Linked DNA regions of Diceros bicornis minor. The protein of the gene in region 1 interacts with the protein of each later gene in a pairwise test. Links are inferred from orthologs where the notes say so. Each region holds a gene or a part of one and is shown in the gene's direction. Other genes may lie near its edges.

Region 1 (11,492 bases):
GGTTTGGTGGGTTTCTGGGCTGGTGCCCTCAGGTTACCCTGCGGTGTCTGGGGGACGAACGTCAGAGAAGAGGGGAGTTTCCCTCTGAGGATGAATCAGCCGTGTGACCGAAGCCTGGTCCCCGCCAGGGCCCCTCCCAGCGGGCGGGAGTAGGGAGCAGTTGCCCTGCTGGGAAAATCCCCCAAACCTCGCCAAAGCTTCTGCTGAAGCTTTCTCCTGACTCAGCTGTTTCCTGTCCCCTGCCCCTCCATTCAGCCCTGAGCCCCAGCTGGAATCAGGGGTTGGGCAGAGATTCTCCCCACTCCCCAGGCAGCCCCTGTGGAGCCTCCTCCCTGGGGTGTGGGGGTTTGCAGTGCACGTGAGTGGGAGGAGGTGGAGTAGGGGGGTGTCTGCTTTCCCCAGCCTCAGTCCCCCTTCCTGTGGTTTTATAAAAGGAAGCAGAGCACAGGGGCTTGTCCACCTTTACCCAGCCTCACCCACCCTGGGCCAGGGCTGCATTCTTACTCCTGTGTGGGAAGAGACCAGCTGGACAGGACAGAAGCCCCTGCCAGCCTGAGGGGGTAGGTCTTGGGAAGCCCTTGGCCTGACAGGGAAGCAGTCCCCCCCAACCCCGTAGGCCTGGGAGATCCTTCCTGTCCAGGTAGGCTTAGTGACTGTATTCTGTGAGCCTCGGTTTCTCCATCAGTAAAATGGGAATCTTAGTCTTGGCCCAGCCTCTCTCCCAGGCAGTTCTGAGGACCCACGCTGTGCGCTTTACAACTCAGATCCTCAGTCCTTGCTGGCTCTTATCTATCTTTGCAGCCCCCCACCCCAACAGCACCTTCATACAGTGCAGGATCCACAAGGCATCAGGTGCTCTGGAGTCAGATGACCTGGATTTAAATCTTGGCTCTGCCACTTATAGCTTTGTAACCTCAAGCCAATTACTGAACCTTTCTGGGCCTCAGTTTGCTCTTCTGTAAATGGCAATAATAATAAAGTCGGGTGGGGCTTAGATGAGCTAATGTGAGTAAACACTTAGCATGGCGCCTGGCACTTGTCGTGAATAGAAGGAGGAAACTGAGGCCCAGAGACAGAGAGTGACTTTCACTTAGTCACTCATTTCTTCAGTAACATTGATTTGGCACTCGTGCTAGGCCAGGTCCCTATGCAGGACGCTGAGGACACCTGCGGGATAAAGCGCAGCCCTGTCCTCGAGGGGCCCCAGGCGCACAGATGAGAGCCACAGGTGGACTAGTGGGTGTTATGGAGCCTGGGCTGAGGATGGATAGGGGAGGAAGAACCTCTGAGAGGATGACACCCAAGCCAGTGGGTCTGAGACGTGGAGCCAGCCAGGAAAGCAGGTGAGGGTCAGGCACACCAAGCAGAGGTGACAGCATGAGCAAAGGCGCAAAAGTGACAAAGCCCAGCACGTGTGCGAGAAAACCTCAGGCAGCTCCTGATTCTGGAATAAGAAGGGTAAAGCAGGAAATGGAGGAGATGGGGCCGGAAGGACTGGCAGGGGCTGAATTTGAGTCATTCATTCATTCATTCATTCAATAATTTATGGAGAGATGGCTCTAGCCAAGCACTGTGCTAGGCTCTGGGGACAGGGCTGAGATCCAGACATTGTCCCTGTCTTCACTGAGGCCACATGGGCATGCGGCTCAGGGGCCAGCGGGAGACAGATATCAATCAAGTGGTTGCATAAGGAACCTCCCCATCCTTGCTGCACAGCAGGTGTTCAAGCAGAAGGAATGGCCTGAGGCCCGGGGCTGCGTGCCAGGGTGAAGGAAGTACCAGTTGGCTCCCGTAGGGTGAGCAGGGGTGGAAAGGGGCGCCTGCGGGAAGCCGGGGCAGCGGCAGGGGGCTAGGTCATGGCTGGCTCAGGAAAGCAGACTCTATTGCAGACTGTGGGGAGCCACAGGAGGGCTTTGAGTAGGAGAGGGACAGAGGCAGCTCTGCGGGAGAGCTGGCTGTGGGGGCACAGGGGGGAAGTGGGAGGGGAAGCGGGCAGAGCAGGCAAGTGCAATGGTTTGGTGAAGAGAGAGTGAGGAATGGGCTAAAGCAGGGCCATGAGGCTGGAGAAGGGATGAGCGTGTCAAACGCTTAGTTATGGAAGGAGAACCAGGCGGTGTTGACACCCCTTGGGCATCTTTGGGGGACCCATGAGGGCCTTCCCAGGATCCCCCACAAGCCTTGGCGCACTTTGGTCAAGTGTAGAGCACTGACAGGCTGGGGGAGGCAGGGCACCAGGCTCCAAGGGGAGACCACTCAGCTCTGGGGACTTCCCAGGGCTGGGTTTAGGGGGGACTCAGCCCTGGGGAAGCTCAGGGTGGGGAGGAAGCTGGGGAGGGGGCTGAGCCAGCATCTCATGACTCACCCACTTCCACCCAGTCAGCCCAGTGGCATCTCCGCTCCCCTGCTCCAAATTCCAATTTGGTGAGGCTGCTGGAGGATGAGTCAGCTCCGGCACGGCACGAGAGCAGTGTCCTAAGGGGCTCCCTGCCAGACACCCTGGCCTCCAACCAAGGCCAGGGCCAGGCACGGGGTTGGGGGGTGCAGAGCCAGGCTCCGAGGCTGCAGCAGCCTCAGCTGATCGGGGTGGCCCAGTGAGATCACGTGAGGGAATGTGCCTGGAGCTCCCTGTGGGTGAAGCCAGGGACCACACTCTGCCTGAGGAGGAGGCAGGGACCGGGGTGCAAGGCCTAGCTCTGCCCGACTCACCACGACTCTGAGGGAATTCCCTTCCCCTCTTGGCCTCAATTTCCTTGACCACAGAATGGGACCAACATCTCCTTTTAAAGAGGTTGTGATTAAATAATGCATAAGGAAGTGCTTTGCAAACGTTCTGTGGCCCGTGATGATTAGGGTGGTGGGAGAGGTGAGTATAAACAGGAAAGCTTCCAGGGTCACTTATGGTTGTGCAGGTTGTTCACTGCACAAGGATGTCCAGCCTAGATTTCGGAAATCCAGCCTATCTGCTGCTCACCAGACCGTGTGCCCTGGCCCAGAACTTCTAGACCAAGAGGATACCTTTCTCTAACAGGCGCCAATACACCCTGTAGGTTAGTAGTGGCCCCTCGGACTTTGCTGGGTTGAGCCCCTGGATTTATGGGAAATCACTGAGAAACTGATTCTGATTCTTAGGATGGAGGGGAAGCAGGGCTGGCTTTGCAGAGGCTCTCAGAGAAGTTCTCAGGCTTTTTTTTTTTTTTTTTTGGTGAGGAAGATCAGCCCTGAGCTAACATCCATGCCAGTCCTCCTCTTTTTGCTGAGAAAGACCAGCCCTCAGCTAACATCTATTGCCGATCCTCCTCCTTTTTTTTCCCTTTTTCTCCCCAAAGCCCCAGGAGATAGTTGTATTTTATAGTTGCACATCCTGCTAGTTGCCGTATGTGGAACGCGGCCACAGCATGGCCCAACAAGCAGTGGGTCGGTGTGCGCCCGGGATCCGAACCTGGGCTGCCAGTAGCGGAGCACGCGCACTCAACCGCTAAGCCACGGGGCCAGCCCCTCTCAAGCTTGGCAGTGAGGAGTATCTTATTATTGGGGGATGTTAGGGGGGCCCCATCAGAGCAAAGGGGCAGTCTCTCCTGGCCCTGCGTCTCTCCAGCAACCAAAGCAAGTAACCACCAACACAGTATTTTAAAAAACACTCAAGACACAGACCCAATCTGGGTTTTATTGAAATGCCAGGAGCAGGCACATGACAAGGTAGTGAAGGAAGGGAGAAAGGTGGTGCAGGCTGTGAGGGGGCAGGGAGGGACAGGCCCCATGTCCATGGCCCGGGCATCTTCTCTCTCTGCCCAGGGCTGAGTGGGCACACTCATCCCCCCAACAAAATGGCATGCTCAGGCCTGCAGGGCCTCTGCCTGCTGGTCTGTGAAGGCTCCAAGGAGAGAGACTGGAAGCCCTAAGTCTTTTCTCTTGTGAGGGAGGAAGAGAAAAAGGGGAAGATGCAGGAGAGGGGGGAGGTACAGCCAGGGATGAGGGCAGCCAAGGAAGGCTCTCCTCCTGGGGGTCTGCACCCAGCCTGCGGTCCTCGATGGCAGAGGGGAGCAGCAGCGAAAAGAGAGGCTGAGGGTCCGGCCCTCAGGGAGCCAGAGCCTCCAGGGAGCCAGAGCCTCCAGCCGGTGGGGACTTGAGTCAGCCCTGAACAGAGGGCAGAAGTTCAAGGGGATTGAAGATGCAGACAGTTCCCGAGTGACCTAGTCCTCAGAGCTGGGGGACTTGGCCTCCTTGGGACAAGGAAGACGGGAGGATCCATCCCTGGCAGGGAGGGCAGAGAGTGGTCTCCCCTACTTGGCCCTACTAGGTCAGTTCCACGTTGTTGGCGCGGTCCAGCACACGGGAGCCGCGGGCACTGCCCCCCAGCTGGAAACGGCTCTCATAGAGCGTGGGGCAGAGGTGCCAGCGGTTGGCCCGGTAGATGCCCAGGTAGGTGTAGACGTCAGGCTTGTAGGTGAGCAGGCACTTAATGCCTGCTGCACGGATGGCTGCATCGGCCTCCAGCACACCCAAGCGGTCCGTGAAGTCGTCCGTGTAAACACAGATGACCTGGCGCCCACCCTCCCTGGCCCGTGGGCTCACCTTGGCCACCTGAAGCCGGCCCTCGACCACGGCCCGGGCAATGCCGGCCCAGGCGTGGTCCAGCTTGAAGCCAGGTGCCAGGTGCATCAGCCACTTGCCCGAGAGCACGTGGTGGGTGATGGCCAGCTGGCGCAGGGTACCTGGCGTGATGGGCCGCCCGCTGGTCTGCAGAGCTTCCCAGGCTGCCTGCAGGCCCTGCACGTCGCCTGAATTGGGGACGTAGCCCTGCCCATATGCTGCAATCCAGCCCACGGGCTCCGAGTTGGGCGAGCCAGGGTCGCCATAGCGGGTAACTTGGGATGGCGGGTACTTGGCCAACCAGGCATCCAGCTCTGAGGCAGGTGTGGTGCGGGCATCAAACACCAACCAGGGGTCCATGTCAGCTGCCATGGCCTCCGCGGCCAGATGCTCAGCAGTGAAGCCATCCTCCCGGCCGCCTGGAGAGTCCTCCTCCTCCAGCTCCTCACCTGGCTCCATCCTGAAGCGAGGGAACCGAGTTAGGGCAGGTCCAAGACAGATCTACAGCTTACTGGGCCCTAGAAGGGTGCTAGGCACTAAACTAAGCTGTGTGGCTTTGGGCAAGACTTAATGTCACCGTTCCTCTGTTGCTTCATCTTTAAAATAAGTAACAACTGTTCCTGCCTTGTAGAGCTGTTGAGAATTAAATGCCTGACGCGGAACACGAGCTACGTAAGTGTTGTTGCTAATGTTATCACTACTGTCCCTGACTTACAGATAGGAAACTGAAGCTCAGAGAGAAGGGACTTACCCAAGGTCACACCTGTAGAGAGTGACAGGGCCATAATGTGCATTCAGGTGTGGAAGCAGCCGGCCCAGCCACACCTCCTGGCCCTGCCAGTCACTGGCAGGTCCCCGAGCGCCGGGATTTAATGGAGGGAGGAAGACAGGCGCGCAATCGCGCAGCACTGGGGCAGGCCCTGCAGGGCCAGGCCTCCCGGGGGGGTGTCATCGGGCCTATTTAAAAACCAGGACATTGAAGCCCAGAAAGGGCTGTGACGGGTCCGAGGCCAGTGGGGCGGTGCCCGGACTCGAACCCAGGCTGGTGGGAACCTGCGGGAGGGCCAGCCGCCGGCCAGCCGCGCCCGCCGCCATTAGCGCCCACGGCCCGAGCTACGCTCCCGCCCGGCCCTGCCCCCTCCCGCCGCCCAGCCGTCACCTCCGGCCTTCGCTGCGCTCGGCGCCGGCCCAGCCCCGGGCCCGGCTCCGCTCCTGCCGGGGCTCCGCGCCGCCGCCGCCGCCGCGCCCCGCCCCCGCCACGGCTGCCGCCGCCGCCGCCATCTTAGCGCCTCGCCGCCTCAACAACAACTTTATAGACAAGCGCAGCGCGGGGCGGGGCCCCCGGGCCGGATCGGCCGCGCCGCGGGGCGGGGCCGACGAGGGAAGGGGCGGGGCAGGTGGGGGCGGGGCTGACCCCGGGGGCGGGGCCGTCAGGGAGCCCGGGGAGGGGCGGGCCTGCGTGGGCGGGGCTAACGTTCGCTCTCCTGGCCTTGGGCGCGGGTGGGAGTGGCGGCCCTGTCCCGGACCGACGTGCACCGCCCGGGAGGCTATAAGGGGAGGGCACTCGAGCCCTGGGAGCGGCGTCTTGACTGGCGGCGCTAGGACCCCGTGGGGAGCGGCAGGGGCGGAGCAGGCGGCGCCAGGACCCGGGGGAACCGCGGCGGGCGGGCGGCGAGCAGGCCCCGGGGCCGGGAGGCTGCGGGCGGCGGCGCTGGGCCCGGCGCGGCGAGAGAGTCCCCGAGATGCCGAGCAAGAAGAAGAAGTACAACGCCCGGTTCCCGCCGGTGAGCACGTGGCCGGGCCCGGGAGGAGCGGCCGGGCTCTCGTGAGGCTTGTGCCCAGGCCCCGCTGGGGGGGCGGGCGCTTCGCGCTGTTCGGGGGCCCGGACGCCCCGCCCCCTTCCGTGCCCTCCCCGCGTCCGTGCCCCCCTCCCCCCTTCTCCTGGGATACCCCCCTCGCTCGCCCCCAGCACCCCTTTCTGGGTCGGAGGCCACGGGGTCCGAGCTCTCTCCCTTCCCCAGGCGCGGATCAAGAAGATCATGCAGACAGACGAAGAGATTGGGAAGGTGGCGGCGGCTGTGCCTGTCATCATCTGTATCCTGTTGGGGGCTGGTTGGGTTGAGGGACGTGGGAGAGGGAGGCAGCCCGGGGTCGCCTGTGTGGGCTGGGGACCCCCCTAGCTGCGTTCTCCTTGACACCCCTCAGCCCGGGCACTCGAGCTCTTCCTGGAGTCGCTATTGAAGAAGGCCTGCCAGGTGACCCAGTCCCGAAATGCCAAGACCATGACCACATCCCACCTGTGAGTGGCTGCGGAGCTGAGAGGGCTGAGTGGGGCCGTGCCCCAGGAGTTCACACAGTTAGGGGCGGCTGCGTTCTTATAGTGAGGGAGGTGGGAGGCTGCTGGGAAACCAGCCAGGCCTCCAAGACTGGTGGGTTTGAACTGGGGGAGGAGGAGTTGGGTGTTCCAGCAAAGCGGGGGAGGTCGGGTGGTGGAGATGGGGTGGAGGCTTTCCAGGCTCTGTTCTCCTGACATCCAGAGCCTCTTACTGTCCCTTGCTGAGGACCCAGACATCTGGGCCCCACCTGAGTGTCATCCCCTCCCCATCTCTTCCAGGAAACAGTGCATTGAGCTGGAGCAGCAGTTTGACTTCTTAAAGGACCTGGTGGCATCTGTGCCTGACATGCAGGGGGACGGGGAAGACAACCACATGGATGGGGACAAGAGTGCCCGCAGGTGGGGACCGAGGGCCAGTGTGCAGGTGGAGAAGGCCAAGGCCACCAGGGTTGGGGGTGGCTGGGGGGTGATGAATGGGGGGGTGACCTCTGGGCAGATGGACTGTACCTTCTCGAAGGGGCCGGAAGCCAGGCAGCAGTGGCCGGAAGAACGGTGGGATGGGAAGCAAAGGCAAGGATAAGAAGCTGTCGGGGACAGACTCGGAGCAGGAGGTGAGTGAGGCCCCCAGCCCTCTGTCTCGTAGTGTGCAGAGGGCAGGCTTGTCTCAGGCCGGGCTGGCTGGAGCCTGGTTCCATCCTCACCTCTTATCTCTTTGTACCTTGGTTTTGTTGTTTATAAATTGGGACTATGGAGGTCACCCTCCTGTCCCTGCTACTCTCAGGGGTTTGTGCTTTCCAGTGATGAGTCCATGCCTTTCATGTCACTTCTCATCCCTACCTTGCTACCAGGATGAGTCTGAGGACACAGACACCGATGGGGAAGAGGACACACCGCAGGCCCCACCCCAGGCCAGCCACCCCCCCGCCCACTTACAGAGGTAAGCAGCTCAGTGGGCGCCAGGAAAGGGCCAGCAGACTCCCCAAGGCTGACTTGTCCCTCCTGGCCTCCATGACCACTTGGATCTATTGGTTGTGGCAGATTTGGGGCATGGGAAGGGAGAAACTGAGGAGGGCTTAAAGGTAGGAGACTGTGCTCTCCGAAGGTCCCTTCCACTCTTGGGCGGGGCAGTGGATGGGGCCTGGGCAGGGACTGTGTGACCTGCTTTGGGCCCTTCCCTTCTCTGGGCTTGGCTCCCTATTGGTACCGAGGGCGGTGGGCTCCATGCTGCCCGTGTGGAGGGCAGGGGGTGGCTTAGGGGTCAGGAATGAGCAGTGGCCTGACCTTCCTCTCCTGTTTTCTGCCTAGCAGCCCCCCGACACCCTTCATGCCCTTTGCCTCAACTCTGCCTCTGCCCCCAGTGCCCCCAGGCCCCTCAGCACCTGATGCAGAGGATGAAGAGGATTATGACTCCTAGCGCCCTCTGCCCCCCAGGCCACACCCCTTTTTAGTTGGTTTTGGTTGTTCTGGGGGGAAGAGAGAAGGTAGAACTGTTCTTAAATTTATTAAAAAAAAGAAATAAAAGGGAATGCCAGTGTTTGTCCCAGCCTCTGTCTAGGGCTTTGTGGCCACCTTGCCATCTTTTCACCTGCCTTCTCCACACTGAGCTGGGGCCAGGAGTGGTGGTGGGCCAGGCAGCAGCAGAGTGAAGGGAGGGGCTTTACGTCACAGTTATGCCAGGGCAGGCCCAGTGGTGCTGAGGGAAGGAAGGCGGGCAGGGTGGTGTAGGGCCTGAGCCAGCAGGTACCCATTATGCCGGGAGACAACCTGTTTCATCGTGCTGTGTGACCCTGGGCAGGTTCCTACCCTTCTCTGAGCAGCCTCCTCGCATCTCTCTGATGGAGACCATTCTGTCCCTGCTAGGCTGCTGCAGAGGGATAGATGCGACAGGTAACAGAACAGGTCTTGAAAACTAGAACTTGGGCCAGGTGCCACGAAGGGTGTGAGAAGGGGCACTGGGAGCAGAGGTGGGCGAGATTGTGGAGGGCCTTGAAGGCTGGCTCACGAGAGAGCAGTGACACAGCACCACACCGGCTGTGGCCACTGTGAGTGGTGCAGGTGGGTTGTGATTCCAGCCGGCTAATCAGCCAGGACGCTCAAGCCCTGGGACTTAAGGTGGGACCTTTGGGGACCGGTTTTGACAAGGTTGCTGGCTTTCCCATGGCTCGGGTGGCAGCAGGGACCCTCTAGGAGTCCAAGCAAGGATGATGGCTGCCACACTGGGTAGCGAAGCTGGTGGAATGTAGGCCAGACGCAACTGGAAGCCACAAGTGGTGATCCTGACTGCGAACAAAACCAGCACAGCGGAGCCAGGAGGCTCAGAGGCCCAGATTTCTGGTGACATCTGAACACCTGGACCCGGTCTTGCCGGAAGCCTGTATACCTCAGACTTCTTAGTCCTGTGAGCCAATAAACATTTTTCCCTGCCGGAAGCCAGTTGGGTTTCTGTCACTGGTAACTGAAGAAGCTGCGGCTGACAGGGACCGTGAATGGGAGGGGTTCCCATCGGCCCGGAAGCGGGAGGTAGTTTTCTCTAGCAGCAAGTCGTGTGCAGTCCCAGGGGAGGCAGACTCCTGGGGTCCACAGAGCTGAGGGCATGCTAGTGGGGGTGAGGAGCTGGGGTAAGAGAGGAAGAGAGCCTGGGAGCCTGTTGCTGGGCTCTGTCCAAAGGGTGAGATCCTGAACTGAGAAGGTTCAGAGTGAGGAGGCTGGGTGAGAGTGAGGAGGACGATTGGGGAAGGCCAGGAGGCCACGGTGCAGGGAGTAGCCCCTTTCATCTAGGCAGAGGCTCGAGGAGGTGTGGGTGGGGGTGGGAGATGCCCAGGAGCCCCTGGCCTCTGCCTCTGCATTCTCAGCCTGTTGGCTCACCCTTGGCAGGGTGCTTACGAGTGGAACTTCTGGAGCCAGGCCCCGGGTTTAAATCCTAGCTTCTGCACTTACTGGCCTCAAACAAGTTCTGTAGCTTCTCGATGTCTCAGTTTTTCCATCTGTAAATGGGACTAGTTATTACCTATAGTTATACATGCTATGCTGTATATACTAGTTATACCTATTAGTTAAGGCAAGGGCCTGATGTAAAACTCAAACTGTTTAGGCTCAAGTGCAGAGGAATTTTCTTGCTCATATAAGGTTTATATTGGGATTTATCTGATTAGTGGGTGGTGCTTCTGCAAGAGGGACGCCAGGGCCCAGGCTCCTTCCATCTTGTGGCTCCACCATCCTCAACCTATGACTTTCAGGATCACTGAGGAAGGGGAAAGCTCAGAGCCTATGGAGGTTTTTCTGGGCCAGGACTAGAAGTGGCCCCATCACCTTTGTTCACCTCCCACTGGAACTGCCACAGGACCCACCTGAGGGAGGCTGGGGAAGGTCCTCTAGCCAACCTGAGTGACCGACCAGCCAGTTTCGGCCATAGGACCTCATAGGCCGTTAGGGAGGACCTGACCCAGCTTTCACCAAGTGTTAGGAGTGCAGCCTCCTGAGTCAGAGGTTAGGGGCCCCAGGGAGACGGTGCTTCTGGCTGGGCCAGGCCCCTGGGTGCTTCCTGGGAGTCGGGAAAGATGGTTCTGCCCTGCCCGTGGGCACCACTGGGCACCGGGAGGGAAGCCTGTCAGTACCCCATCTGCAGAGCTCTACCTGGGAACCAGAAGGTTTTCTTTGTTTATTCTCTATCCACTGAGGAGCCTTGAGCCTCGGGCCAGGTCCTGTCTGAATGCCTCAGCCTGGCCTTGGCTGTACCCTGGGGTGTAAGTGTGACCAGTGGGTAGAATGGGAAGCAGCTTCTGAGGCCAGTGTAGCATCCAGAGACTGAGACCTTCAGGTGAAGGGTATGGGCCCACCCATCCCTGCCAAGAGGAGAGTCTCCCTCCATAGTCCCCCTAAGGATTCATTCAGCAAATGCTTATTGGGCACCCAACATCGTCCCTCAGCAGGGAAATGAGTTGCCACAATCACCCACCAGAAGCCTGAAATGAAAAAGTCTGAGATCGCCAAGTGCGGAGAGGAGGTGGCAAGGCCAGACCTCAGTGCTGGTGGGAACGTCACGAGGTGCAACCGTGTTAGAAAACAGTGGGGCGGTTTCTCCTTGAGTCTATTAACACGTACTTCCCTGTGACACAGCAGTGCTGCTCCTAGGCATACGTCCACCAAAAGACACGTACAAGAATGGCCACAGCCTCCCACTGGAAACAACCCAAATGCCTGTCAACAAGAGCACGAATAAATGGTAGGGTATTGTACAACAGAACAATGAAAAAGGGCGAACCACTGTTACACGCAACATCGTGGGTGAATCTTGGAGACCTTATGTTGAGCAAACGAAGCCAAACACAAAGAGCACACACCGTGACGTAATTCATTTAAATCAAGTTCAGGGACAGGTGAAATTAATCGATGGTGATGGAATTCAGTATAATGGTTACCTCGGGGTGGGAGTTGACTGGGAAGCAGCCTTCTGGAAGTGTTCCACAGCTTGAACTGGGTGGTGGTTGTATATAAAAATGTATTAAGCTGCACACTTAAGATGCATGCACTTTTATGATAGCCTCATAAAAATTGTATTTATTTTATC
Region 2 (12,686 bases), on another chromosome or scaffold:
CGCTGGGGTGTGATGCCCCAGCACCATTTTCCCCGAACAGCCTTTTGTGCAGTAAGCGGGAGTAGCTGTCTACAGCGCTCTACGAAGGATCTTAAGTCCCGTAATCTTTCTCCTTCCTCATTTCATAATCAATTAAATGGAATATTAATAGATTCAAATACTTTTAAGTTCCAAAAAAAAGTACTCAAAGGTATGATCTATCACCGTGTAGTTTAGTTGTTTGAAAGCAAGCCATAACTAAATTCTCATTAACTTAAAGTGTATATGGCTTTGGAACAATTTTCTGAAAATTTGAAAACATCAAACAAGTCTAGTTATTGTAGATGTAGAGATTTGGGACCATTTAGTTTAGTGGGAAAGTCTCAGGATCTCTATTGTAAAAGCAAACTATTGACCTTGGGTTTGTGGGGAATCTTTCGTTTTTTTGTGTGTGTGTGTGAGGAAGATTAGCCCTGAGCTAACATCCGACGCCAAGCCTCCTCTTTTTTCTGAGGAAGATTGGCCCTAGGCTAACATCCGTGCCCATCTTCCTCCACTGTATATGTGGGAAGCCTGCCACAGCATGGCTTGATAAGCATTGCATCTGTCCTCACCCGGGATCCGAACCTGCGAACCCTGGGCTTCAAAAGCAGAGGGCGCGAACTCAACCGCTACGCCACCAGGCTGGCTCTGGGAATTGTTTTCTTTAACATTAGCTTCCACGTAACAGAAAAGAAAGCAGAAAGATATAACCAAGCCCTCATTCACAAAATAGACAACGATGTAAGACTACAGCCGGAGTTGAACATAACTGAGAGAGAAAGATGATAATCTATAGACAAGTCAGGAGTGAGCATTTGATGAGCGTGCCACAAAATTAGCTTGAGAGGTCCAGACACCGGGATAGAACAGATGAATACAAATAGTGGCACGGGCTTTTATGCAGCTTTTATACTGCATCTTGATGTAAATGCCATAGAATCAAGTCATTAAAATAGTGGAAGATGGCTAAACCATTGTGGGTTTTGTGGTTTTAATAGAAAAGCTACACTCAAGTTAACTTTGATTTTTTTTAACCTGAAAAAACCCACCCCAATAAAAGTATTCTATGTAACTGATGGTGTACCAAATACCACCTTTATTAAGCTATATTTGGGAACTGCTCATCTTACTGTCATTCAAAACACTCACTAAGAGACTTGGTTTAGCAGTGGGTATATTGTTAACACTCAGATAATAATAATACTAGTAATGGTCACGTGGACGCCTGTGATGTCTGAACATGAGACACTGAGCAGAAACTGCCCCTTTTGGCAAAGATCAGTGGTAGGATAGTGGATGGCAAATGCTTTCCTTCACAAAAGTTTGGGGGCAGAGTCCTTTCATCTCGTTACTGTGAAAGAGCAAAATCCTAGGTAAGAAAGGTCAGAAAATAGTGAGAATGAGCAGGTATAATGGACGATTTTGTAGAAGACAGAAAGCACAAAGAGAAAAAAAAAAGGAAAAAAAGGAAAGCTAGCTATAACGGGAAAATCCTCTTGGCAAGCCTCGCTAATTTGGTTTTATTGTGAAGAACAGTCAGAATAATGATATTTTAAAATATATTCTTTCATTCACTCAACCAATGACTCTCACAAACCAATATTTATTGGATGTCTTCTGTGTGCAAAAGGTTAGTCACAAAGGTCCAAAGGAAAAATGAGGGTGCTTCAGCCCTCGGGGAGCTCACTGCAGCTCCCTTTAAGCCCCTGAACTAACAGAATTGGCCCTGGTAAAGTGTTGCTTAGAAAAGGTCCTTGGTACATGCATTGGTTTTACCATCTAAATTGCACTAAGACTTTAGGGACCTTCTGTATATCACTGTCCTATTACAAAGGTATAAGTTGTTTCCTGTTTTATAACATTACAACCAAAATTACAATTTTCCTATTTTTAGCATTTATCTTGCTTCCTATGTTATATTATTATAAATAACACTCCAATGGACATCTTCATGAACACAGCATCCCATATTTTAAATTATTTCCTTACTCCAGTTCTCAGAGGTGGGATTACTGCTCAAGAGGCTTTAACATCTAAATCATTCTTGGAGTATTGTCAAATTGCTTTCTAAAAGGGTTGTATCAATTTATAATACAGTGAGCAATGCATGACAGTAATGAGAGAAGCAATTTTATATTCTCATCACATGGTTATACTTTATAAGTAATACTTTCAGAGTTTTAATTTAATATTTAAATAATATGAGATTATTTGAAAATAGGTACTTAGGTTATACAAGCAGGTATTTAGCATGTGATTTTCATGGAAAGAGTAAACATCTAATGTTAAAATTCAGTCTTGAAGAAAGTGTCAAGTAACAGGTCACATGAATATGGACATGTTTCATGTTCTCATTTTTCCCCAGTAGTTTTTGAGAGCACTTGAAAATCATTAATAAGACTTTAAAGGCAAATCTTATCTACATTAATGTACTTAAAATGTACTTAAAAACATTTTAAGGAAATTATAGTCTCATATAACATTCAATTTCTCCATATTTTTTATTATAAAATGAGAAAGTGGTTATTTTGGGAAAAAATATTATCTTCAAGACATATGATAAAACAACACTAAATAGTGCAGCATAACTTTTGAAGTCACATTCTTAATGCCAAATGATATCTCTTTGGAAAAAATATTAATTTTAAAGGTCACAAGCTATTAACGTGAGCCCTTTTGAGTTATTTTGTTTTATTATCAGAGTAATTTAGAAATGTAAGAGAAAGCTACTGCTCACTGAACATTGAATTAAAAAGTGAATTAATTTCTAGCAATCTTCCTCCCTGATTCTGTAAGGAAATAACTGATGGTTAATATTTTCTGTTTGTAGCTTATTAAAGTTGTAAGCCTGTATTCTACTTCCTAGCACTTGGAGAAGCTGCTGGCTTTTCTCAGTGAAAAGCTGGATTTAGTCTCCAATGGAGGACAAGCCACCAACACTGAGGAATCAAAGATTTCAAATAAATCAACAAACAAACAAATGGAAAAGTTAAATTCAGGTTCACGTATGCAAGTACGTTTAGCAGTGGGATATGAGCCAGCCACATTTCAGTTTAGGTAGCACACAATTTTACAAACACAAGTGTCGTTACGTGGACAGCTGGCCAAAATATTTTAGAGCACAGCTGCCCCATAAAATCAAGCCCACATGATTGCTGCAGGTACACTGCTTGTTGAATCCATTCCATGATCTTAAAGTCTATAAATTGAATTTCTGTATATTGAGTTTCTATTAAGAGGCATATTGCATAGACTCTGGAGCCAAATTACCAGGGTTCAATCCCAGCTTTGCCATTTACTAGCTGTGTGACTTCAGGCTAGTTACTTAACTATTCTGTGCCTCAATTTCTCCATCCATAAAATAGGGACAATAATAGTATCCAACTCATGGAGCTGTTGGAAAGATTAAATAAGCTAATATATAAAAAGCCTTAAAATAGTACCTGGCACATAATAAGCACTATATGAGTGTTTGCTGCTGTTCTTAATATCATGATTATTCATTTTTATTACTACTTCTACCTGAATTTAAATAAAACTTTATTCCTTTATTAAGGAATCAAAAGGATAGTGAATGCTTCTACAAATACAATCTGTATTTCCCAGGGCACAGTAATTTGGGCCTAAAAATATAGTCTTGCAACAACAGTTATATAGCAGGCATGCAGAAAAGTGGGAAAATCTTAGAGTCAGTCATTCCTGGCTTTGAATTCTATCTCCACCACTAACTTATTGTGTGACTCTGGGCAATCTACCTACTCAACCTCTCTAAGCCTTTAGAAGGAAAACAATAATACTCGCCTGACCAGATAACCAAGAATTAGACAGGATGCATGTGAGGTGCCTGACAGATGGCCCAAAGCAGAAGGACCTCAGGCCTACTTTCAAGAACTCCCCTACTGCTTGCAGCTCCATGTGCGGCCATCCCTGTTCCCTCTCTGGCTCCCTGCCACCTTCAGCAGGGGCTTACCCTGCTGCCTGGTGAAACCAAACCACCAAGAAGCAGGCCCTGGAGAATTAAGCACCAACTGAAAACTTAGTGTGGAAAGACATCATTGGTACTTTAGTGAGTATTATAATGCTATATAAAAAAGATTTGAAAGTCCATATTTTTTAGAAATGTACACTCAAGTATGTATGGGTCAAGGTGATATATGGGACTTGTTTCTAAAATACTTTAGCAAAGGGAGAAAAAAAGGCAAGCAAAGGATACATGAAACAAATGTGGCAAAATCTTGATAATTGTTTAATCAGGATAATTGTTTAATGAGGATTCATTATATTACTCTAATTTTTAGTGTGTTTGAACATCTTCATACATGATAAAAAAACTGAAAAATTAAGTAAAAACCTCACATTTCTAGAAGCAATACATATGGCCCCTTAGCCACCAGGCACATGAGGCTTGTCTAATATTCTAGACATTTCATCCCATTTCCAAAGAGTCCAAGTCAGATCTGATTATACATTTCACTGAATCCTCTGTTCTTCCTAGTCCAGCAGAACATGCCATGTAATGTCCAAATAAATATTTGTCAAACCTTGCTCAAGTTAGGAAATTGTCATCTTCTCCAACATCACCATACAGATCCTTTTATAACAGACACTTATATACCAGCGTTTCCAAAAGTGAGGCCACAAGATAGATCTAATGAACCTCCACAACATTATGCCAAGTGAAAGAAGCCAGACCAAAAGACAATATATCATACGATTCCATTTATATGAAAAGACAAGAAAAGGCAAATCTACAGAGAAAGAAAGTAGATTAGTGATTCCTGGGCTGGACGTGGAATGGGCATTGACTGTACATGCACATGAGTGATCTTACTGGGATGATGGAAATGTATTAAAACTGGATTGTGGGGATTATTGCACAACTTGGTAAAATTACTAAAAATCATTCACTTCTAAACAGGTGAATTCTGTGGTATGTAATTATACCTCACTAAATTTTTTTTTAAAGAGATATATCTAGGTGGGTCACAACTTTTAAAAAATCATCCACTACGTATGTAAAGCATTTTATACTTTAGAAGAACTATAACTAGCACATCAAGTTGCGATTCCACAGTAGTGACATAAACTTTTAAAATAAATTTTTAAATAAAAAAAGATGATTTAATTTAAATAATTAACTTAAATTATTTTAATTGATTAATCCACATAATTAAGGTAAATAAAAATGATGATAATAACAAACCAGAAGTTTTGGTAAATGCTGTCTGAGTCATTGATTCCTAGGTTGTGTGTCGAACCCCAGTTGTGCCTGTGTGTGTGTGTGTGTGTGTGTGTGTGTGTGTGTTTTAATCTCAGAGTCAAATATAAAGATTAAATGGGATAATGTTGATAAAAATACTTTATCAATTGCCAATGCTGTATTAACAAAAGGAAAGGATTGACCTACCTAAACTTCTTCTAATTTAATATAAAAGAAATCCTAACTAGGTTATGACAGATAAGAGACTCTCCAGGCGGGGCAGAGTAATTTAACCAATTGCCCAGCTACCTTCCTCTGGGGTGTCAATTTCTCCGATGGTTTCTTCCTTCCACAAACATTACCGAATGCCTACCATGAATCCATTACATAGTAGGTCCTAACTCTTGATCCTCAAGAGGTGCCCGGTTGCCCTGCTCCTCCTCTCCCTCTTCTCCCAAGCCAAGATGCTCTACTAGGAAAACTTCCTACTGGCTTGGTGTGGAGCACCCCCAAGCCCTTTCCTGGTTGCATTGGCACAGCTGAAATGAATTGGCCTTTCTGAAACTTTTCCAAATCTTAAGAGGCTCCCCTGACACACACACACGTACAGTCAAGTTTTTAAACTGCAGAATTACAGACTGGAAGTCAGAAAAAAAAATTTCTCTTCCATCCCCATCTAGATTTCAGTTCCAAAACTCCTGCCTCTTACACCCCTTATTCTTTCTAAGTAAGTGAGTCCTCCCCACTTTTCAAGAACACAACGAGTGCTCAGCAGCGTTTAAGTCCTATGCCCAAAAGAACAAAGCAGCCATTATAAGTCCTCATCCTCACAGAACCCGGATCACCCTCTTTCCGCCGATCCCCACAGGGTCAAGGTGGTTTGTTTTCAGCAAAGTGGTGGTAGTGTTATTGTTATTATTATTACTATTCTGATGTTAGTTTGGCTAATTAATAAATCTAGGGACCTTTTGCGGTATCTAAACGTTCTGCTAAGTTCTCTATGCTTCAACTGTCAGCCAAATTTGCAAAGCCCATGAAAAAAACCAATCAGGATAGGGCCCCATATCTCCCTGCCTCACTAGTGCACTGTGCTCTCACATGGTTTTGTTTCATCTCCTGCCAATTCTGAAAGGGTATGCAAGGCACATAATATTACCCCTTGCACCGAAGGCGAAGGGACGTGCTTAAGAAGACACAGCTGGCTTGCCGATGACAGAGCCTGAACCTACACCTGTTCTAGCTGACCTAAGTGAATTTCTCTTTTTATTCCAAAGTCCTTAGGGGAATCACGCCTCTGGGCAAGTAAGAATTGCGCTTAAACGAGAGTAACTGACTCCCGGGTGGAGGGGTTAGTTAGCTTTGCCCCCACCACGAAGCCCGGGTTGTTTTTATGTTTTAATTCAGTCAAGTTCTGGGTATCTCCGTTGTAGCTCCTTTTCAGGGTTCCCTGGAAAGTTTTCTTGGGTAGTTTTGTTGATTCGCCCAGCAGCACGGCAAATTACAGAAACGGAATAGGAGAATAAGGACACGCAAAGCACGTGGCCTACAGGATCTCATCTTTCTTGGTCCTTCTCGCGACCCGTAGCCGCTCCCCCTTACGACGGCGTGTGCCGTTCGCCTATAAAAGCCCGTCTTGGCGCGTCCTGTCGCCACAACGTCTTCCTGTTTGCGGCGCGTCTGTTGCTGCTCCTTGCTGGACCGCAGTGGCCGTGAAGATGGCGTCTACCAGCCGGTTAGTACGTCCGGCCGAGCCGGGCTCGCAGGGGTGCGGGCGGGAGTGCCAGGGCTTGCCAGGCGGCCGCCGGGGCGGCTGCGTCGGGCGGAGCGCCCCGGAGGTGCGGGGAGAGGCGGCGGGGCTGGCCGGCCGGCCCGGACAAAGGCACTTCCAGACGGCAGGGCTGTCAGGGGTGTCGCAGCGGGTACCGAGCGTCGGCGTTACCGCCCCGGCGTCCTAGGTCGTCTTCTTACCCAGGCACCACCCTGTGGGGGTCCCTGTCTCCCCAGGCCCGGCCTCGCCTCTTTTGCGGATGTTTCAGCCGTCTTATCTTGTTGTTATTTCTTTCTGCGCTTGTTTTTCCACCTACGGCTTAACCAGCCCAAGGGGCCGTGAGTCCAAAGAGCGGGAAAGGATTCTAGGCCCCTGTCAGTCTGACAGCTAGAACGTTAGGGACGTCAGCATTGCTAAGCCTGATGGAAACTGGTTACCATCCCAGAGGCCCTCTTAAGTGAAAGCTGAGGCATTTCCAAAGAGTTGATAAGTTCCCTTATAAGAGATTTCTTTACCAATGTTGTCTTCTGCATACTCCTGAAGAAAATCTTGCCTGCAGAAAATTACTTACATGTGCTGGGAAGTCACTCTTTAATATGTTTTTAAAATGTGGTGCATACATATCTACAGGAAATGCGTGCAGTGCTCTTAGAGACAGCCCGTAATCCTGTGACCTGGAAAATGCTTGCAGACCCTAATTATATCTCTCATTACTATTATGAGGTAGATATTGGTATTTTTGCATACGTGTAAACTGAGTCATGCCACTGGTGACTTTTCCAAGATTGGTGTTAGAACAGAGTGTAGAGTCTCAAATATCTATTTCCTGTTATCATACAAATGGCCTTAAGTTAACTCATAATGTATTAAAAGTATCGAGTGCTATAGCTTCTGGATGGCAACTCTGGAATAATTTTTCTAAGCTGGTTATCCTCTGTGGAATTGAGTTCCCAATGAAAGCCATCATCACAAAATAGCTAGAGAAGTCCAGGCCCTTTCTGTTAACTGCCAAGACTTACTACTTTATGTTACTGTTTTTTTTTTAAAAGGTGGGGAAGTGGGGAGAGGCAGCTTTAGCTAATGGCCTGTTTGAAAATAACTCTTAAAGCCAGTGACACTCTTGTTTACTGATTCTAATTCTATGATTGAATGCTCAATCATTCTGTCTGGGTGTGGCTCTGTCAGGTAAGGCTTCCTTGTAGGTAAATGGAAAATGTAAGCTTCCCAAAGACACATACATACGACATATTCTCTCATGGCAGTAGGTCTCAAAGGTGAATGTGGTCCTATTTGGGCACAGCTTTTGCATATAGTAGAATAGGAAATTGTATTTTTAGGAAATGTTGCAGGAGTTAAACACAGTAGATTCACTTTATAGATTCTTTACCCAAAGAGCACACTTAACTTTGTGTGCCTTTATTTTCTTCACTTGTTAAAAAAAAAATGTTTGAAATAAATTTTTTCTAAACATATTCAGCTCTTTTTTTTTTTTTTTTGTGAGGAAGATCAGCCCTGAGCTAACATCCATGCTAATCTCCTCTTTTTGCTGAGGAAGACCGGCTCTGAGCTACCATCTATTGCCAGTCCTTCTCCTTTTTTCCCCCAAAGCCCCAGTAGATAGTTGCACATCCTTCTAGTTGCTGTATGTGGGGCACAGCCTCAGCATGGCCAGAGAAGCGGTGTGTCGGTGCGCGCCCGCCATCCAAACCTGGGCTGCCAGTAGCGGAGCGCGTGCACTTAACCCCTAAGCCACGGGGCCGGCTCTTAAATATACGTATCATTGCAGTTATCTATCTCGAGTTTTTCTACCAGTGAGAACAAAGGTAAACGCTAGCATTTCTACCTTTAGTAGTTTTTTCCCTGAAGAAGATATACAGTTGCTAGGCTATGAAACTGCCTGGTGTCTTCACAGAGAAGAGCACAAATGTTCTGAGTTCATGTGTAAGCTCCATCACTTACTAGTTCTGCGACTTCAGACAAATCGTTCTCTGAGCGTAATCTTTAAAATAGAGATAATGCTTCTGTTGCAGAGTTGCTGTGAAGGTTAATAATAGATGTCTGGCACTAGACACATAGGCACCCAATACATGATAGCTTTAAAATGAGGTTTGGGAATATCTGGCTCCTTAAGTAGTCTCAGTTGTTTAATATCAGTGGTGGTTGTTTATTCCGTTCCTTCCGATTGTTTCTCTCCTTTACTTCCCCCACCACCACTCCTCTGGTTCCTCTTTTGTATTACTGTTGTGGGTAATTTGATTAAAAGTTGACTACTTTAGCGTGATTTCATTTTATTTTGGATAGGTAACATATACAAATAGTACAAAAAACAAGGAAAGTGAAAAGCAGTCTCCGTCCTTCCCTGTCTCCCAACTGTCTGATTCTCCCCCAAAGCAGACATTGTAACCAGTTTCGTGGTGTTTTCCTAGTGATTCTATGCTTTAACAATTATATGCATATCCTTCTAACCTCTCTTGCCCCCAAAATATAGTCTAGTGTACACACTGTTGTCTATCTTGCTTTTTACCTTTCTTATGAGGTTAACACACACATTTTAAGTGCACGCGTCAATTACAAAGTGAGCACATACACACAGCCCCCACCCACGTCAAGAAATCAAATACCGCTAGCACCCTGAAGCCTCCTTTGTGTCCTCAGTCATTACCCTTTCTCAAAGATAACCACATCCTGACTCTGATACCATAGGTTTGTCTGCCCGCTTTAAAGTTTATATAAATGGCATATGTATTCCTCTGTGTCTACTTTCTTTTGATCAGCGTTTGAGATTCATCCATGTTATTGCATATAACCGTAGTTCATACTTTTTCCAGTTTTGTATAAAATCCCTACCGTACTCTTTTCACCTAACATATCTTTGAGATGTTTCCATTTCATTTATATATATACACACACACACACTCTACAAGATATTTTATCTACTTTTTAAGAGTGCAAAATATATCAGTCGTTTTCTTCGTACATTGTGTGCCACATGGCTGCCCATTCTACACATTTGTAATTACTGTTACTCTGCTAACATTTTCCTGTATTTTGACATACTTTTTCATAATTTATACTTTCTTAATATATTATTTGTCATAATTTATTAAAATATTTTCCTAATAGAAATTTATGGAATAAGTGAGAGTATAAACCAAGCCCCTAGCCCCCATTTTTCCAATGAAAAGATCGAAGATGTGTTCTGGTTAACTCGAATATATAGATTTGGGGAATATGGATTATTTTATCAGTTTTTCAATGGGATCACCTTTTATGTTGAGAGTTAACATTCTGAATTGTATTTGCTAGCACCAGAAACTTTATCCAAAACCACGAATACTTATTTACATACTATAAGAATGGTTGATGTTGTCTTTTAGATGTATATTTGTGATGGCCATAAAATAACCTTTTACTGTGTTACTCATGTGAACTTTTAGAGAGGACTTATTTTCAATGATACCAAACATTTGTGATTTTGAAGTCATATGCCCAGAAATAACTACTAAATCTATGCTAAGTATCTTTGTTTCTTTTTTAAACTGATTCTGGGGGTCATTTTAGCCTGATATGTCTTCCCCAAACTGCTTTATTTTCAAAATAAAATAATTGATCACAAATAGGTTAAAAAGTAGCTTTTGAAACCATTTGTAGAATGCTAACAAACTTAATTCTGGACCAAATGAAATCGTCAGATCTTAAGTTCAGCAGAGCCACATCTACCACCCTCATTTACATGCCCGTTAGTTTCAGTGTACTATTCTAAATCTATTGCTAAGGTAACTAGCAAGTAGAAAAACACAGACTTGAAATTTATTCTCTGGCCAGAGAAATAAGTGGCAAGGGGCACAAGCCTGATGGTTATATATAATAATGTTGCACGTTATTATGGTGGCTAGTCATTTCTATCCTAATCAAGCTTTTAAAAAATCTTAGTAGCCTGCATGTTAATAGAAAAAACAGTTGTTCTCCTTTTAAGTTTTTAAAGCCTTCCATGTCGACACACCAGTTACTATTATAAAAAATAATTCCAGCTACTTGGCCATAAAAAAAGACAAAGTCGGTCCATTTGCAATAACATAGATGGACCTTGAGGGTATTATGTTAAGCGAACTAAGCCAGACAGAGAAAGACAAACACTGTGTGATTTCACTCATATGTGGAAGATATACTAACACATGAACAGAGAGACAAGTTTAGTGGTTACCAGAGGGGAAGGGGGTTGAGGGGTGGGCATAAGGGGTAAAGGGGCACATTTATATGGTGACTAACAAATGTACAACTGAAATTTCATAATGTTATAAACTATTATGACCTCAATAAAATAAAAAAATAATTCCAGTGGAATATACTTGTTAATTACTAGCTAGAATTTAAAGTAACCTGGGATGTTTACTTTGAAAATTTAGCTTAAGTGTGTTATAAACATATAGTATTGGTAAAATGTTCAAAATACTCCTTTTTCCCCCCCAAAGACTACTTTGTTACATGTTGGTTGGGAGGATATAAAATATATATATATTTTTTTTCATTTAGTTTGGATGCTCTTCCAAGAGTCACATGTCCAAACCATCCAGATGCGATTTTAGTGGAGGACTACAGAGCTGGTGATATGATCTGTCCTGAATGTGGCCTGGTTGTAGGTAAGCAGTTATTATGGTTTTCACTGAAATCACTATTTTGGGTACTTTGCTTTTGTGTGTTTTCCAAACTACCTTTTAATGAATACATTTTGAATTTTTTCCCTTATAGGTAATTCATATTTATTTAAAACAAACAAAAAGAATTAGAAAAAAAGAAACAAGTAAAGTATACCATCTTTTATTGTCTGTCCAAATGTGTATATTTCATAATGTGGGGTAGGAGGGAACATCTAATTGAGACAGCTGATCCAGAAGAAAAGAAAAGGCCCTCAGTCCCTAGTCTCTTGAGTCCTTGGTCTTAAATATTTAAGGGGGCATTGTGGACAGGGGGATGACATTTACACATATGGAATAATGAATAATTGTAATCCAACTGTGTTGCTTTTATATATTTAAGTATAATTGATTTCATAGTAATTAAGGTGTATCTGTACTGAGTCTCATCTAAGGCCTTTTAGTCAGCAGAAAGATTTGTTGTAATTTTCATTTGCTCATGTGGAATGATTTATTTATCAATTTCAAATATAAAATTATTATTGCCAAAAATACTACTTCTTAAAATTTCACTTTTATTCCTACTTGCTCACTAATCTAGATATGCAGCAGAACTTTAGATTAGAGATGGTCTGTGCAAAAATTATTCTTATGGCGAGGTTGCGGCCAGCACCTGAGAAAAGGAGTAATGCTTAGCAGTTTGACATACTTAGGAATGCCAGTGCTGGTAGGATTGTGGGAGGTATAGCAAACATCGGTGTTGGTATACTGAGAAGTATCTTACTTGGAGGATGTCTGTAATATTCATCCAAGTAGGCTGCTTGCCTCAGACCTCCAGAGTGAGTTTTAAATCATACAGAGTTGCTAATAGAAGTTGAAATCCATTTCTAATTGTATTCTACTCGTTAAACAATATTAACGGCTAGTACACTTATTGTATACTAGGTACTGTTCTAAATGATTTACATATTCACTCAGTTTATCCTCAGAGAAACCTGTGAGGTGGGTACTAACATTATCTTCATTTTAGAGATGAGGAGACAAGTTTAGGTAGTCGAGCAGT

The links.
Region 2: the proteins of DRAP1 (region 1) and GTF2B interact in binary tests that used the Homo sapiens proteins (3 or more experiments, as listed by UniProt). The two-hybrid records come from large-scale screens. The link is inferred for Diceros bicornis minor from reciprocal best matches to the Homo sapiens genes DRAP1 and GTF2B.

The regions. Positions count from the first base shown.
Region 1 is NC_080770.1:7,365,393-7,376,884, reverse strand, and holds DRAP1 (dr1-associated corepressor), read left to right. Parts: upstream 1-6,161; 5' UTR 6,162-6,332; coding exon 6,333-6,374; intron 6,375-6,611; coding exon 6,612-6,684; intron 6,685-6,795; coding exon 6,796-6,889; intron 6,890-7,204; coding exon 7,205-7,324; intron 7,325-7,421; coding exon 7,422-7,536; intron 7,537-7,773; coding exon 7,774-7,862; intron 7,863-8,233; coding exon 8,234-8,339; 3' UTR 8,340-8,468; downstream 8,469-11,492. Other genes in the region: C31H11orf68 (UPF0696 protein C11orf68 homolog), read right to left, coding at 4,294-5,050, 5,750-5,871. UniProt on the Homo sapiens protein: The association of the DR1/DRAP1 heterodimer with TBP results in a functional repression of both activated and basal transcription of class II genes.
Region 2 is NC_080743.1:24,859,883-24,872,568, reverse strand, and holds the start of GTF2B (transcription initiation factor IIB), read left to right. Parts: upstream 1-6,854; 5' UTR 6,855-6,936; coding exon 6,937-6,953; intron 6,954-11,522; coding exon 11,523-11,629; intron 11,630-12,686. UniProt on the Homo sapiens protein: General transcription factor that plays a role in transcription initiation by RNA polymerase II (Pol II). Involved in the pre-initiation complex (PIC) formation and Pol II recruitment at promoter DNA.